2 linked regions of the Coturnix japonica genome follow. Each later gene encodes a partner of the first gene's protein in a complex. Links are inferred from orthologs where the notes say so. Each region holds a gene or a part of one and is shown in the gene's direction. Other genes may lie near its edges.

Region 1 (4,358 bases):
TTCCTCCTGGCTTTTTTTCCCCCCTTTCTCCCAATGCCTCTTTCTTCCCTTAGCAAAGGCAGGGAGGGATTCGCTTCTTCCCCCACTGCCTGTTACAGAGCTGACATGGGACCCCCACCCAGAGAGCTGCAACCAGGGATGGGGGCTGCTCCCATGGCTCTGTATGTGGCTGCGGTGCTGCTTGTCCCTCAATGGGGGGGATGATATGAGGATGGATGGGGCAGCTTTGCCCACCTTCCTGTGCCCTCTGCTCTGTCTCTTATGGGGCTGTGTCCCCCCAGCCCTCATAGGCTGTGGGCAGGGGGGGTCTTTCTAACCCCAAGCTGGGGGCTGCAGCTCCATCTAAGCCATGTATTGGGAGGGGGGGGGAGGCAATGTCAGGCTGGGAGGGAGAGAGAGAGAGAAAGAGAGAGAGGTTTATTTTGTATATGACTGATTTTTAACGAATGCAATATGATTAATCCTTGCAGACGAGCAATAAATCATTAAAAGTCTAATGAAAAAAAAAACAAAAAACCAAAAAAAAACGAGTAGGAGCATAAAACGACCAACATGGCAGGTCGGTGGGTGAGTGCTTACAGCCTATGGGGGCACATAGGGGGGTGGGGGTCCTCCAAGCCCCCCCCCCAGCCCCTCCAAGGCCTGTAGTTGGGGTTGGATCCTCATTCACTGTAATGGGGGCTTTGGGCCCATATGGGTTATGTGGGCCCCATAGATCTGACCTGATTAGTTATAACCCATATGGGTTATATGGCCCCCTGTGGGTTATGTGGGCCCATGTGGGTTATATGGGCCCCTGTGTGTTATGTGGGCCCCTGTGGGTTATGTGGACCCATATGGATTATATGGCCCCTATGGGTTATGTGGGCTCATATGAGTTATATGGGCCCCTATGGATTATGTGGGCCCATGTGGGTTATGGGTTATATGGGCCCCTATGGGTTATGTGGGCCCCTATGGATTATATGGCCCCCTATGGGTTATGTGGGCCCATGTGGGTTATATGGCCCCCTGTGGGTTATGTGGGCCCCTATGGGTTATATGGGCCCCTGTGGGTTATATGGGCCCCTCTGGTGGGATCTGCTCCCCCTATTTGGGCTCTGAGCTGGTTCCGGGGTCACATCAGGTCATTCCGGACCCCCCTTTGGTCCCCATCCCCCCCCCACTTCCTGCCACTTCCAACATGGCGGCCCCCAGCCGTCGCGTCACGTGATGGCCGGAAGTGCCTCTCCCAACATGGCGCGCGCCACACCTATCATGGCGGCGATGGGGCGGAGCTTCTCCTCCGGTCGAGGCGCCGCACCGGACGTGGCCACCGGGGGCGGGCGGCGCTGGGCGGTGCCGCGGCCTGAGCGTCTGAACGGCGGGACCGGCGGGAGGTGTCATGGCGGAGGCAGGAGAACGGCCGGAGCTCGGCGCCACTCCCAACATGGCGGCGGCGGCTCTACCCCGGCTCTCCCTGCCGCTCCCGCGAGAAGGAGGGGTGAGTCCTCGCGAGATCTCGCTGTGTGGAGCCATGGAGCCGGGCGGCGTTGTGGCGGGGCCGCTCCCGGCCAACAACAAGGCCCGAAGCGGGGCGGGACCGGCGGGGAAAGGCCGAGAGTTGGGCCGACCCCCGAGGAAGGACTCCGAGGTCAGAACCGGAACCGACAGAACCGGGCCCGGCTCCGCGGGGCGGGAGAAGGCCGGACGGGAGGGGCGGGGCCTAAGCCGGGCCGGTTCCGGGAGGGGCGGGGCCTGGTCCGGCCGGTTCCGGTGCCGTGGGCCCGGCCTGGTTCCGTCCCGATCCCACTGCGGCCCTGTATGGAGTGAACAGCTCCAGGGGGCGGAACCTGCGGCCCAATGCGGCAGCACGGCCGGGGGGTGGATTGGAAACGTTGGTGCTGCTGTGGGGCTGCAGGAATGAGGGGGGTGTTGGGGTTCGTTTGGGTCCGTTTGGGTCCGTTTGGGTCCGTTTGGGTCCGTTTGGGTCCGTTTGGGTCCGTTTGTGTCACTGAGCCCCTCATTGAGCCCCGTTCTTTGCCCCCAGGGCTACTCGGAGTCCCCAGACCTGGAGTTTGAATACGCAGACACCGATAAATGGGCGGCGGAGCTGTCCGGTAAGGGGCCCGTCCTCACAGCTCAATGAATCAGCATTGGGTTCTATGCCCTGATCGTGACCGAAGCGGTTCTGTCCCCTCCAGCGTCGCTTTGTTGCCTTTAAACACCTCATTCACATTAGAAGGGCTGTGTCACTTCATAGCAGCTGTTCCTTTGCCATTAACATTGAGCAGCCATTAACCCGTGGGTCGCAGGGTGACGGTTCTCTGTGCTCTTTGGCAGAGCTGTACAGTTACACCGAAGGCCCCGAGTTCCTGCTCAACCGCAAATGCTTCGAGGAGGATTTCAGGATCCACGGTGAGAGCCCCCCCTTGGAGCTGGGGGCACCAATAGGGCTGGGTGTATCAGGTTGTGAAGTCAAGCAGCCCTTCAGCCCCATCCCATATACATCAATGCTTTGGCTTTGCAGTGCGGGACAAGAAATGGACGGAGCTGGACAAGAAGCAGCATCGCACCCACGCCATGAGGCTGCTGGATGGGCTGGAGGTCACAGCCAGGGAGAAGAGGCTGAAGGTGGCCAGAGCAATCCTGTATGTTGCACAAGGTACGTGCTGGCGTTGAGCTGGAGGCCTTTGCTTTGTATTTCATCTCATACAAGTGGAGCTGAAGCAGTTGTCAGAGGAAGGAGAGTGGTCTAAACTGCCCCTGCAAGAGGGCAGCTCTGTCCTTTGCTTTTCACCTCCTGCTTTAGCATTAAAGATGTGACGTTCTGTCCATCTGCAAAGCACATTGGCTGCACAGAAGGGCTTTGCATCCACTCAGGGTGTCGTTACAGGCACGTTTGGGGAGTGCAGCTCCGAGGCTGATGTCCAGGCCTGGATGAGGTACAACATCTTCCTGCTGCTGGAAGTGGGGACCTTCAACGCGCTGGTGGAGCTGCTGAACATGGAGATCGAGTGAGTGGTGGGAGCAGCTGCTCCAGGAGCCGCTATGGGGCTCTGCTATGGGCTGAGATGCTCCAGGAGCCGCTATGGGGCTCTGCTATGGGCTGAGATGTTTCCCAAAAGGTGGCAAAAAAAAAAAAAAAAGCCGCTTGGGGCTTCTGCTATGGGCTGAAGATCTCCAGGAGCTGCTATGGGGCTCTGCTATGGGCTGAGATGCCTCCAGGAGCTGCTGTGGGGCTCTGCTATGGGCTGAGATGCTCCAGGAGCCGCTATGGGGCTCTGCTATGGGCTGAGATGCTTCAGGAGCCGCTATGGGGCTCTGCTATGGGCTGAGATGCTCCAGGAGCCGCTATGGGGCTCTGCTATGGGCTGAGATGCTCCAGGAGCTGCTATGGGGCTCTGCTATGTGCTGAGATTCCTCCAGCTGGTGGCAGCTGTGTTGTTCCCTGCCCTGTTTCTGTTCTATTCCTGTTCTGATTCCTACTCGAATGGCTGGCATTGCTGCGTGTGGATGTGTAGACACACAGGATGCACGCAGCAGATCTCTAACAGCCGTGCTGTCTGGCAACAGCTGCGTTCCCCCTCTGCTTGATGGGGGACTTGTTGCATTAGTGCTCACTCCAGGCTTTGATTCTGACACTTGGATTGCTTATAGTAGAGTTAAATGCCTCAGGAGCAGCACTGAAGCTGTTCTCTCCCTGCAGTAACAGTGCAGCGTGCAGCAGTGCAGTGAGGAAACCTGCCATCTCCCTGGCTGACAGCACAGACCTGAGGTATGGAGCTCTGCACGAGGAGCTGCTGTGTTGGCTTTATACCCCAGTATAAGAGCCCCAGCTCCCTGTTATGGAGAGTGAATGGGTGGAGGTGGGCTGTGGTTATGGCAGACCAAACCTTCCCTAAGAGCATTGCAATGTAGCTCATCCCAGCCTCTGGTTTTCAGCCCAATCTTGTGTTCTGGGCAGGGTGCTGCTGAACATCATGTATCTGATCGTGGAGACGGTCCGGCAGGAGGCTGAGGGGGATAAGGCTGAATGGAAGAGCATGAGACAGACCTTCCGAGCAGAGCTGGGTGAGGAGCCCACGCTTGTACAGGAGGGTTGGATGGAGGTTCCAAGGGCTGATGGGGAAGTGGGGGAGGTGGGTGTTGATTCTGGGCCTCAGGGTTGGTCTCTGCTATTGCTGAACCTTGGAGCAGGTGAGGGCAGGGAGCAGAGGAGCTGCATGGGGTGAGATGGGGAGCTCAGAGGTGGGGGTGGGAGGCACAGCAGGGTGAGCAGAGCCTGACTGTGCTGCTGGTTGGTTCCAGGAGCCCCTCTGTACAACAACGAGCCTTTCTCTGTCATGCTCTTTGGGATGGTGACCAAGTTCTGCAGT
Region 2 (4,079 bases), on another chromosome or scaffold:
TCTACTTGGGTGTGTTAAATAATCAGGCAGGATTCAGAGTTGTTAGGAGTCGATAGTTATTCATTTATTTACTGATCCGCTGTACACAATTTAATAAGCAGTAGAGATCAGTAGAAATCCTCTTTTGGTCCCAAACATTCGTTAATCAAAATCTTTCTAAATTGAAGTGCACAGTACAAACTTTGAGAAAACAAAATACTCCAGTCATTAAACCTATCTCCTGATGTCCTCTCAGTTAACCTGGGTGTATATAACTTCACTCAGAAGCCTTTTACAGCTATGTGTTTTTTGAAGAGCACAGAGGGGTTGTAATACTTTAATAACGGTGAAGGCTGAACAAAGTGGCAAGTCAGAAAATAAAGTAATACCAGCATGAGCCACAAGTCTGTCCTTAGCTAACATCACTGCGAGTTGTTTTCTGGTTCAAACCACAGGGAGTTAAGGTTGGAAAGGCTGCTGAACGTTGAAATTCCTGGCGCTAGCACAGCCTTACCTTAAACAGAGGTGTTTTGTGCTCCTTGCCACAGTACAGCATTTCTCCATGTTGTAATGGAGAGAGACCTCCTTTGATCACACCCTTTCCGAAGGGAACCACCCTCTGGACGGGGTACGGACAACAGCCTGCTATCTCTACTGACCTTCCCATTGCTTGGCTTTCAGGCCCATGGAGCTGTGAATTTGAGCAAAGTCCTCAAGGATATTTGTATCTGAATATGAGTGTGACCACCGCTCATGATTCCTGTGCGCCTGCTCAGAAGGGGAAGACAGGCGTCATAAAAGATATCATTTTTAGCTTCACTTGAGTAACTGGCAAAACTTCAATGCATAGGAACGTGAATCATGCAACACGGAGAGGTGACTCACATACGAATGGGAAAAACGTCGCCCTAAAACAATGTCATTTTCTCCTGACCCACAGTGGAAGGAGAAGGTGAGGAGAGGCAAAATAAAAAGCCAAGAAAAGACCATAAACGTCCGCCGGATTATTCGCACAGGGGACAGCGATGTACGCGCACTGTGACCATGTTTGTGGGCACTGCGCTCGGTAGGACGGGGCCTGCAGGGGACAAGCATTGCCACAAGGCGCCTGGGGGGGACACAGCGCCGTGACAGCGCCGCAGGGCCCACGGCAGGGCGAGCATCCCCTGCCGAACAACACCGCGCTCACAGCCCCATCGCCACCCGGCCGCTCCTCCCCGCCCAGCCCGTAGGCGGGGGCAGTGACGCCGAGCCCCGTGCGGCGGCGGCGGCTCCGCCCCACGAGGCCGGAGCTGAGACGGAAGAAGCCGCCGCCGCACAGCAGCCTCCTCCTCCTCCTCCTGCTGCCGCCCGGGGCCCGACATGGCGCTGTGAGCCCAGCCCCAGCCGTGCACAGAGCCGTCACCCGGAGGGCACCGAGCAGCCGCCGTCCCCGCTTCGGGAGCGGGCAGGGGGGCATGGGCAGGGCCGCCGCGGGGAGCCCGGCGGGCATGGCACAGCGGCCTTAGGGGAGCCCTTCCCGCCCGCGTCGCGCAGCTCGGCCCCGCGGCCCCAGCGAGGTGAGTCGGCGGCGGGCGGGGCCGCGCGGGGAGGGAACGAGGGAAGGAGGGAGCGCGGCCCGCGCTGAAGCCGCTCCCCGCCGCTTTGTCCTTCCAGGCCCCGCCGCCGCCCAGCAGCAGGGAGGCCGAGAGGAGGGAGCAGCGGGCGGCGCCCGGCCGCCGTAGCCCGGCCATGGCCCACTCGCCCGTGGCGGTGCAAGTGCCCGGCATGCAGGTGAGCTCCGAGCCGCTCCGGTCCCAAAATGGAGGCGGCGGGCAACGCTCCGGCTCCGGAAGCGGCGCCGCGCGGAGGCCGCCGTTGGGTCGTGGGGAGTGCGGGCGGGCGGAGCGGGGCGGCCTGCAAGCGGGGAGGCCTCGCTCGGTATCGGGGGAGAGCGGGCCCGAGCCGTCGCGTTGCGGGAGGGGCTGCGCTGAGGTAGCGGCGGGCCCGGGGAGGAGCCGCGGTGCCGCGTACCTGCGGCCCGCACGGGGCTGAGAGCCCTTCTCCGCTTTGTTCGGGATGGGCCGCGACACGGAGCGTGGAAGAGCTTCTGAAATTGGTGAAAGGCCAAACGAAGTGAATCGGGGAGTGCGCTGCAAGTGACATATCGGCCCCGTGGGGCTGCCCACCGCCGGCGCTTGGGCCTGTAGCACTGAGCCCTGCTGCTCTGCCTGTAATGAGGGCCTGGCGCTCAGGGAAGGGTGCGAGTGGAGGTCCGATGTTTGTGCTGCGTGCCGCTGGGAGCCATCATCTGTCAGAAAATGCCACCTCTCCTTGGCTGGGAGCGAGGCCCGGTGTCCTTCGAGCGTTTGTGAAACTTGTTTAAACAAACAAACAAGCGATATGTAAGTGATTTTTCAGAGGGAGGCTGGGATAGCTGTGACTCTTCCTTCTTATTCTGCTGGACAGCCCCTTGTGAGTTTGGGTGCAGATCTTTATCAAACAAAGAGGAGCTGAGCTCATTTCAGCGCTGTTTTCTACCTGTCAGGCTGGCAGCTCTGTCAGCATTTTTGGCCTTTCTCTCAGCTTTTGGGGTTGGCTCACCTGCCCCATAGCTGAGGGACTGGGGGGTTGCTTTTCCTTTCCTCATTTCCAATAACAGAGAAGTCTTTATGATACATCAAAGTGAGATACACAGCTTGGAGTTCAGGTTTCAGATCAGAAGGTTGAAATTTCTCCTGGTTGGTTATCTTCCATGTTTTTTAGAGTGTAGAAGCGATGTATAAAGACCACTCCTATACTATTCTGCCTTGGATGCAATGCTGAGGTTTGGTTTACCTTTTTCACTTCTAGTAACTTAACGACCTTCTGAAATCAGTAAAATTTGATCGTGCAATTGTTGGTATAAGATGACATAAGCCACACTTTCTATCCTCCATCTTCTGTTAATGTTTTCATATTTGGAAGACTTCCTTTTTCAAGGTGCAAACTTATGAGCTCCTTATTGTCATACCTCCTTGATCCATTGCTGACCTATTTTCCATGGCTGCCTTGTCACCACCAAAGGACCTTGGAAATTATTTGAGGTCCTGTTTTCTGTTGTTAAACCAATAACGTTTATGTAATAGTTCCTTTAGTGCTGTTAGTTTAACCCAGATCTCTGAAGGTATAGACATATGTTTAAAACTCTCTCTGCTTTTTTAACTATTAGATATGTGCAGCTGTAAAGAATTAAGAAATAGCTTCTTTTGATGAAGACTATTACACAAGTCCAGACAATCTTGTAATACAAAGGAATTGGATTTGGTGCAAAATTACTCACCTCGCTGTTCCTTAAGAGGGATTGTAATACAGCTTAAGAAAGCAAACAAAAATCTCTCTTGCAAAGGTTGATAGTCTAAACCTTGCTTTTTCCCCCCTCCTTTTAATACCTATTTGAACTGTTCATTCAAGATCATCCAAGTGATTACGAAAGCATCCCTGCATCAGCTCAGTGTTAAAATAACTCATGGCTACTAAAGAAGGAATGAACAGGTTTGCCTGTGAAGGAGGGAGATCTAATAGCTGTATTAAAACTAGCACCGTGCACAAGTGCATGTCATGTCACGCTCCTTGTTTGCAGCCTGTGTTGAGGGAAGTGTTTTCACCAAATATAACAGATTGAAACAGAATCTGCCAGAGAATGTGTTTCAGGTATGAATCCTTCAGTTTTACTGTAATCCTATGATTTCCATCCCAAACAAACAAATCAGGCTCTAAAAAGACATTACCAGTTTATCACCGAAGCATTACACAAGCTCTTCTGGCTGTTTTAAGATCTCTTAAATGTTTTATAGCTGAAAATACTGCAGGTCCCATAGAGTTGTTTTGGTCAACTCGAACTCTGCCTGTGAGTAGTATGACAACAATGGAAGACCCAGAGGTAGTATTATCTGCTGCCCTTATGAATAGTTCCAGAATGATGTGTTTGTGTAGTGGTTGCATTCTGTTGAACCTGTCTCATGTCCTTGACAAAACCAGATGTTATACCACACAATTCATGCCTGTGCAAACAATTTCCTGAATATGTGGGTTTTTTTTTTCCACTTACTTTGAAAGGCCCAGTTTGCATCAGTTGTATG

What was found. Proteins that work in one complex are often made in the same cells at the same time.
Region 2: STRIP1 (region 1) and STK26 share a complex: the UniProt entries of both Homo sapiens proteins name them as parts of the core of STRIPAK complex. The link is inferred for Coturnix japonica from reciprocal best matches to the Homo sapiens genes STRIP1 and STK26.

Annotation. Positions count from the first base shown.
Region 1 is NC_029541.1:1,698,012-1,702,369, forward strand, and holds the start of STRIP1 (striatin-interacting protein 1), read left to right. Parts: upstream 1-1,489; 5' UTR 1,490-1,516; coding exon 1,517-1,633; intron 1,634-2,029; coding exon 2,030-2,099; intron 2,100-2,322; coding exon 2,323-2,397; intron 2,398-2,509; coding exon 2,510-2,644; intron 2,645-2,875; coding exon 2,876-2,996; intron 2,997-3,688; coding exon 3,689-3,757; intron 3,758-3,946; coding exon 3,947-4,053; intron 4,054-4,290; coding exon 4,291-4,358. UniProt on the Homo sapiens protein: Plays a role in the regulation of cell morphology and cytoskeletal organization. Required in the cortical actin filament dynamics and cell shape. Part of the striatin-interacting phosphatase and kinase (STRIPAK) complexes.
Region 2 is NC_029519.1:3,339,395-3,343,473, forward strand, and holds the start of STK26 (serine/threonine-protein kinase 26), read left to right. Parts: upstream 1-1,258; 5' UTR 1,259-1,538; intron 1,539-1,592; exon of another isoform or gene 1,593-1,635; 5' UTR 1,636-1,710; coding exon 1,711-1,752; intron 1,753-4,079. UniProt on the Homo sapiens protein: Serine/threonine-protein kinase that acts as a mediator of cell growth. Modulates apoptosis. In association with STK24 negatively regulates Golgi reorientation in polarized cell migration upon RHO activation.